Regions from separate parts of the Mus musculus genome. Here region 1 is reported to be linked to region 2. Evidence: microRNA targets listed by miRTarBase, many of them from high-throughput screens and not tested one by one. Region 2 holds a microRNA gene; the other region holds the end of a gene's coding sequence.
Evidence for each region. Region 2 holds the annotated microRNA mmu-miR-5099 (UUAGAUCGAUGUGGUGCUCC, at 2,764-2,783, opposite strand). A microRNA usually pairs through its seed, bases 2 to 8, with sites in the 3' UTR of a target mRNA and lowers its output. Matches are read on the target gene's strand: a 7mer-m8 pairs with bases 2 to 8, a 7mer-A1 pairs with bases 2 to 7 and ends in A, and an 8mer does both.

Region 1 (4,000 bases), not on the chromosome of region 2:
TTACTAGTTCCTCCACTACAGGTTATTTTGGTCAAATAAAATCTTTACACATGCTCAGAAACAAAAAGAGGGTCTGGTAAGATGGCTCAGCAGCTGAAGAGCTTGCCAGCCAAGCACGAAGACCTGTATCCGAGCCCATAGAGAGGAAGGAAACGGCTCCAGGGTTGTCTTCAGTCATCCCCATGGGTGCCATGAGATGCGCTGAGCCCTTGCCCCCGCCGCGCCCCCACCCCCTTACAGCAGTTGTAAGACAAAGTGCAGGCACAGCTAGGCCTGCATCATGGAGTTGTTGCTTCTGTTCTATTACCTCCCTCTCGTTGCTGAGCCAACTGCTTAGGTCCCAAGCACTCAGATTAGGTGCTTGGCATAATGCTAATGCATAATTTACATTGGCCCTTAAGTGAGAAGAAAAGAATGTCAGAGCACTCTGCCTGTTTTCAATATCCGCAGGGCAGAACAGGAATGGTGGGCCACACTCCTCATCCCAGAACTGGGGAGGTAGAGGTCCGAGGAGCTGGAATTTAAGGTCATTCTTTGCCATTTATCAAGTTGCAGGCAGAGTACATTTCAATCTCCTAGCCTCCTCCCCGCACCTGGGAGGGAGAGGCTAATCAAAGGAGGTGGGGGTGGGGGCAGCCAGTAGGCATAGAACTTGCTACAAAAACAGAACTGGGTTTATTTTTCCAGCGTTTGATTAAAAAGCCAGGCACCCAGGCCACACCTGTATGTAACCCTAGTGCTGAGAAAGCAGAGAATAGAGGCGTCTTGGTGCTTACCAGCTGGACTAATTAGCCTAATAGGTGAGGTCTAGGTTCAGCAAAAGACCCCGACTCAAAAAACTACAATGGAGCATGGTGTGGTGGCCCCTCCTTTACTCTCAGGATTAGGAGACAGAGGCAGGAAGATCTCAAAGCTTGAGGCCAGCCTGGTTTACAGAGCAAGTTCCCAACATCCAAGGCCACTCCCTAAGGAGTGAGACCCATACCTTTAATTCCAACACTCCAGGAGGCAGGGGCAGGTGAGTTCCCTGGCCACACAGATTTAAAGATAGGATTCCAGGACAATCAAGGCTACACAAAGAAAGCTATTCTTGAAAACCACAAACAGACAAAAACATAAAAGTACAGAGATTGAAGCAGACATCAGTTAACCTCTGGACTCTCCTTGCAAGTCTGTGTGTGTGTGTGTGTGTGTGTGTGTGTGTGTGTGTGTGTGTATGGGTGCACATGCACAGAATATTGGCAAATGGATAAGAGAATCCAGCACAGATCTGTTAAATGTGTTAACTTCTTTGGGCTATCGCAACAAAATAACCCAGACAGTTTAAACAACAGAAATGAGTCCCTGTAATTAGAGTTAGAAGTCCAAAATGGAATTGTCACTGCTTTAGTGTCTGGGTCTACTCTGGTCATCACATGATCTTCCCCAGGTTCACACCTTTGTTTACATTTTCTTTAGGAGTGCATGTTCACAGGTATAGTGATGAAATGACTTAATTTTATATTCATTGCATCCCTTTTTCCTCTGAGACTTGTGCTTGTATCTGCTGAGCCACCACTCTAGCCCCTTTTGAAAGGCTCTGGGGCTGGAGAGATGGCTCAGAGGTTAAGAGCTGAGGTCACGAGTTCAATTCCCAGCAACCACAGAGTGGTTCACAACCATCTGTTAATGGGATCTGATGCCCTCCCTCGTCTGGGGTCTCTGAAGAGAGCGACAAAAACCAAAAACAGCCTTTGTCAGAGAGAGGGGGGGGGAGGAAGGAAAAAAAGAGGCCGGTTCTATCTGTGAAGTGGAATCATGGCCTGGTGATTAAGAGCATCGGGTTGCTCTTCCAAGGACCCAAGTTTGATTCCCAACACCCACATGGAAGCTAACAATAGTTGCGGAGGGATCTGATGCTCTCTTCTGGCCTCTGCAGGCACCAGACACACACGTGGTGCACATACAGACATACAGATAGATACAGGCAAAACCACCCTTACACATAAATAAAAACAGCAAAGCTTTATCTGAAAATATGCTACTCATAGCCTGTGGTCCTGAGTTTGGGGGCTCAAGTATAGGCTAATAAATACAAATTCTGGTAGAAACATAGAATTTTGTCCAGAAGTTACTAAAAAGTTTTAAGTTTTATGCATGAACCTATTCATAAATCTGCTAATGATGATCAATCTGCTTAAACGGTATTGACTTTTTTTAAATCAAGTTCACACCAGAAAAAAAAAAGTATGACAAATTTCTGTGAGAAAACCGGAGTTCCTGGGGTGGGGCCCAGGTAACAGGAAGCATAGTAACAGCTTAGCAACCTTGAGCAGAAATGATTGCCCCAAAGTCATGTTTCAGCATCCTGAGCATGTTAGAGCTGCAAATTAATGTATCCTCTCACGGGGAATCACTGGAGAAGGGGCCCAGGACATTGTTTTGAGGCCCTTCCAAAGTGAATTCTCCTGTCCAACCCCATTCCTGGTACAAGGATTCTCCAGAATTCTGGCTGGCCTTAAATTCAAGAGATCCACCTGCCTCTGCCTCAGGTGCTGGGATCAAAGGCATTGCACCACCACTGCCCAGCTCCCAAGTGAATTCTTGCACACTATAAATCAATGGTTCCCAATCTTTCTAATGCTTAGGCCCTTTAATACATTTCGCGTTGTGTTGATTTCCAATCGTACATTTCTTTGCTACTTCATAACTCGACCACTCTTCTGAATTGTAATGTAAATATCTGATATACAGGATTATATTCTGATCCCAGGTTGAGACTACTGCCTTAACTGGAGTAGGTTAAAAAGTACAAAAGGGTAGCCAGAAATGGTGGAGCACACCTTTATCACAGAACTTGGGAGGCAGAAGCAGGTAGATCGGAGTTCAAGGCCAGCCTGGTCTAAATAGGAGACTCCAGGACGGTCGGGGCGACATAGATATTCTGTCTCAATAAGGAAGGACAAAGGGATCAAGAGCTGACATTTTAATGATGCCCTTTTCCCAAACTACTGGGTAACTTAAAATAATTTGCTTGGGCCAGGCATGGTGGTGCATGTCTTTAATCCCAGCACTCGGGAGGCAGAGGCAGGCGGATTTCTGAGTTCGAGGCCAGTCTGGTCTACAAAGTGAGTTCACGGGCAGCCAGGGCTGCACAGAGAAACCCTGTCTCGAAAAAACAAAACAAAACAAACAAAAAAAAAAAACTTGCTTGACACAGGAGTTAGGGCCCACTTTTAAGTCAACTGTGCCATTCTTGAGGGCCAGACTGAAGTGTTGTTAGAAACCGTAGGAATACAACCTACATACTCCCCGAACCATCAACTGAATACTCAAGTGTTTATAAATTTTACTGTATGTGATCAAACCAACAGCATACCAAAAAAAATTTTTTATATTGGAATAGTTCTACAAATTGCTATTTGCAAAGAAAAATAAACAGGAGGTGCTCGTGAAGGCGGGTAAGAAAATACGTGTAGTGATTTAAGACTCCATCTGTGTTTCTCTTCCCTCCAGCGGAAGCGGAAAGCCAGCCAGTTTTAGCCCTTTCTTACTTAACTTGCTTAGGATTGAGGAGGCACGAATTTTCAAGAACTCTTCAACTTCTTTCACCTTCACAGCTGGAAAAGGATCAACACCAACAGTCAGGCGGGAGGGGCGCAGAGTTTTAAAGAGAAGGGCTTCTGGACCTGGAATCTGGGAAGACTGGTGCCTATGGCTGAGCAGGGGGGGTTAATGGACCTTGGTGTGTCGGTCTTTCCCTACCTTCCTGCCATTTAAGGGCTTTGGAAAGGGATACCCAGGGACAATGTAGTTTCCTGGTGTTTGGAAACTGAAAGAAATTGTGAGAAGCTGAGACTCTCCCGCGGCTTACTCCCCAGGTGGGTCGTCAAAATCCCTTACCTCTTTGGAGTTCGTTTTCTTTGTGCCAGGCCGCCATGTTCAAGAGAATATTTTTCATTCGCGTCTGTGCACTGGGTTGTCCAAAGATGGTGATTTCAGCTAGGTTCCCAGAGTTGAC
Region 2 (4,531 bases):
ATAGTGTTGCATGAAATAACTAAAGAGACTTGTCCATGTCTTAATTCTTACCCAAAATAGACTTTCAACTGATAAGACGCATTGTTTACTCAAGAATACTTTGACGAAAAACATTAAATTCCAGATTAAAAATAACAGGTGTCAGAAAATTTCACTCTTATGGTGGCTCATTTAACTTATACACCCATGGCCTGGAGTCAGATATGTCTCATTTAGTTTGCTTTTGTGGAAACCTAATAACTGAGTTATATGTTTATCAGTGAGTATAGTCAAGTCTGGAAGAGGAGCAAAGAGTTATACATACAAAGCATTAGCTCAAGAAAAATGGAATAAAACATGAGAAAACTTCAAGCCAAATGAAATCAGACTGTAAAGATTTCCTACAAAGCAGACACATTCTTTATTTCTTATATTCTTTGTACAGCACTTGCCAAATTTCCCTTTAATAGCAAGGGTCTATCACTTCAGCCTGGACAGGAACTTTTTTTGTTGATTTAAACACATAACCACACAAAGTGACTCGGTGGTGACCTTCAGTTCCTGTTCAATAGAACTGCCAGTAATACAAGAGCAGAGCATATGGAGCTAGAATCAGGAAGGAACTTGATGCTAAGGAGACACGTGAGACAACAATGGGCATTGATGCTGCCCTTTCTACCCATTTATCTTGGTAATGGGAGACCAAGGTTCACAAGTGAGACACAGGTACAGAGTACATACATTCTCTGGGAAAAATCATACTCTGGCCCTATGACATACGATCATCTTACCCTAACCGTTACTACATGTGTATCTTTAAAGACCATCCTATCATTCAACTCAACTAGTGTCTTCAGCACAGTGTGGCAATATGTCAGACTTGTATAATCTGAGGCCCATTGCTGCACTTCATTTGTCCAGAAGCAATACTATGTTGACATTCCTGACAGTTCATAAAGAAATCAGAAAGTTCACAATTGCTATAGTTGATAGAAATATCTTCTGCAACTCCCTGATCTTCTCACTCATGATCCCTGAGCCTTGCTGCAGGAATGTTTTGGATTTTAGATCAGTTGTTCATAGTTTTTTGAAACTTCCAAAACCACTACATTTTGATCAGTTGAAGTGCTTTATGTAGTGGTTTTGTTTTGTTTTTTGGAAGTTTCAAAAAACTATGAACAACTAAGAATTGCTAAGAGCTGGTGAAATACTCATCCCTTGAAAGAACAAACCAAATGTTTATTCAATATGTTATGGTCAGTCCTGAAATCATACACATAAGTAACATAAACTAAGATGATTGTATTTATGCATTTAGCACAATTAAAGAAAAAGAAGGCACGGATTTGAAAGATAATAAGGGAACACTAGAGAGGGTTTGGAAGGAAGGAGAAATGATATAATAATAATATAAAAATAAAAATTAAACTTAAAAAAGGCAATTATGTGTATGTAAAAAAAAATTCCATATCTAGAGTATTGTTCCAGTAAGAACAAAACACTGTCCTTTCCATAATGGCAGTGATACAATGACATCAACCAATCATGAGACAATTAGTTGCCCTCTCACCCCAGGAAATAATACCATTTTCCATCCCAGTGCTAGTCTCTGAAGCAGATAGCCTGGGTACTCAGCAGGGGCTATGGCTATGAAGATTTTGTCAGTGAAGGCCCATGTTGCAGAGCCCATTTTTAACATTTAACTTTGATACCACAACCACCTAAATCATCAGTCTGTTGGAAAATGATAGGAATCATAATACTCATTTTCAATAAATTATATTCATCAATCCAGATAAAACACCCCCCCAAAAATAAGAAAGATGGCATTCCTGACTCTCACTACATTAAAATTCATACTGAGTCATAATGTTCCCTTTGAAGCCAGATATTCTCTAACAAATACCCAAGTCCCAAGCAAGGAAACTCTCCCTTCACGTTGTTTATCAAGAAAGATAAGGCAACCTTCAAAACAGTATAATCATTACAATTGACCTGAGCTAATACCCAGAATTTGAAAGCAAGATTCAATTGCTGAAGACAACACATACTTCAGACACAGAACTTCAAAACAAGTAGCTGGTACTGACCTGCAAGTACCCCTGGCATCTAGCTCTCCTCGGTTAGAAGGTGTTATATAAGATAACAAGGAAGAAATGCAATCAGTAGTCCTACCAGCTGTCAAGAATGCTAGCCACAACAAGGACCAGCTTGACAAGATGTGCCCAATGGAGCAGCAGTGACACTTACATCTTTTATGTAATCAAGAGTTCTCTGATTGAACTTCAGACCTGATCAATGGGAGGAAATTCATACCTGGCACTTTAAATCTGGCCATCTACTAGAGTTGTAGTAATTATAGACACTAAAGGAAAAGCTGCCATTACTACTTCTTTCCCCCACCCCCACCCCCAAGGAGCACCTCGAGGATTGCAAGAAACAGCGCGTGCACACACACACCAGACAGGAAGAATATGCAACACCACCAGCCACATTCCCCGGCTCGGAGAACATGGTCAAGCGAGACACGACCGAAGTGAAACACGTAAGGGCAACCAGGCGCCTGACTCGTCCACAAGGACCACGCGAACCACTGAGAAAAGTGCGCGCTCGGGTAAGAGCTTGGGCCAGAGAGCCGCACCCCTGCCTTCCATACACCACCGGTATAAGGATGGGGTGGAGAGACGAGGGGCCCGAGGGCAGAACGAGAAGAGCGGCCTCCATTCGCCATGAATGTCTGTCCCTCGCCTGGCGCAGCTTAGGCCCTGGCCTGAAGAGAACTCAGGAGCACCACATCGATCTAAGCCCATTACCACTTCTTAAATCAATGTAATTTCTAACTGAATTCTAAACATTTATTCAAAAGTCACATAAAGTGCCACATCCTGTTATGGAATGTCTTCTTACAATAGATAGGGGTTACTAGAGAGATCCACAACTGGTAAATGTTCTCAGGGAAATTAGTACAGCTACAATACAATACAACCCCACATCTAATGGCACAGGAAACATGGTGGAAGAGAGATGTGGAAAGATTTAAGAGCCATGTTGTTGGGAAGTAGTTCTAATGCTTTGTCTCAATTTGGCTCCCAGAGCCTCACTTACAGACCTCAGCGTCTCTGCACCCAGCTGGCTTTGACTGGTAAATAAAGAATTGCTGTACAACCAATAGCTTGGCAAGGAGATGGGGAGGGACATTTAGATTGCAGTGGGCAAAGGACTGAGAAACAGAAGGAGGAGGAGGAGGAGGAGGAGGAGGAGGAGGAGGAGGAGGAGGGGGAAGGGGGAGGAGAAGGAGGAGGAGGAGGAAGAGGAGGAAGAGGCAGAGATTCACCATAATGGGGAAGCACAAAGATGGAACTTAAAGGCCCACTGGCATGTAAGGATCAGGAAAAGTAGCCCTAGGAGCCACTTACCCAATTGAGTCTGGGGTATCAGAGATGACATATAAATTTTAAAAGATGTTAACTCTGGAATACTTGAGAGGAGTGTTTGCTAGCAGCGGTAGGTTTAGAAGTGCCCAGCCACATCAAAATTAGCTGTCGCACACATGTGCACCCACCTGTGTGTGTGTGTGTGTGTATGTGTGTGTGTGTCTTTCATTCACGAATCTAGAGAGCTCTTGGTCAGATGCAGGTCACAAGACTCACCAGGAGCCAAAGTGGTTTAGTCAATTCACTGCCACATCATGTGCCTGCTGAAAGTGCCTTGTAGCCAGCCACAAAAGAAATGCTACAACCATGAAATCTCAGTAATTTAGTTGTCTAAACAAGCTTTGCATGAAGAGCACATCTGTCAAAAGGTCAATAGGGATGAGGAAAATTTCACAAGGCCTGGCCCATAATGATGATGAGTCCCAACTCCAAAGACCACTGAGGGATGGAAAATCAGTTTTCCTGGAACAAGACACTGATAACTTACCTAACCCAAGTTGGCAGCATAAATATATGTACAAATCAGCACCATGAAATGGACTCAGTGGTGTGTGTGTACACATATATATATATATATATATATATATATATATATATATATATATACATATATATATATATATATATGCATGCAATATAGATCACATATATTAATATACACATACATATACATTAATCTAAGTGGGACAGATGGAGGAGTTAAAAAGAAAGATGGAGGAGGAAGAAGTTGGAGACAGAAGATGGCAGAGTGGAAACAAGTGTAATGTATTTATTCATATCTAAATTCTCAAAACAATAAAACATTTTAAAAAGTAGAGAAAGAAATCAATTAGAGCTAGATGCATGGCTCAGCGGTAGGCTGGATGATGAGGCTCTGCAAGTGACGCTTAGTACATAAAACACACACACACACACAAAAAAAAAAAAAAAAAAAAAAAAAAAAAAAAAACAACCAAATCACTCTAAACTATTTATTGTCTTAGTCAGGGTTTCTATTCCTGTACAAGCATCATGACCAAGAAGCAAGTTGGGGAGGAAAGGGTTTATTCAGCTTACACTTCCATACTGCTGTTGATCACCAAGGAAGTCAGGACTGGAACTCATTCAGGTCAGAAAGC

Region 1: miRTarBase lists Ooep as a target of mmu-miR-5099. Seed matches in the 3' UTR shown: 7mer-m8 at 2,855-2,861.

Annotation. Positions count from the first base shown.
Region 1 is chr9:78,374,093-78,378,092 of GRCm38, forward strand. Ooep (oocyte expressed protein) reads right to left here. Exons shown (of 3, transcript NM_026480.3): 2 at 3,883-4,000; 3 at 2,811-3,599. The coding sequence ends at 3,463. Among named protein-coding and RNA genes, the nearest start is that of Ooep, 2.5 kb to the right of the region's middle. RefSeq lists cis regulatory regions at 1-2,387, 1-2,387 and an enhancer at 1-1,318.
Region 2 is chr12:36,814,502-36,819,032 of GRCm38, reverse strand. Mir5099 (microRNA 5099) reads right to left here and starts at 2,828; the gene lies at 2,755-2,828.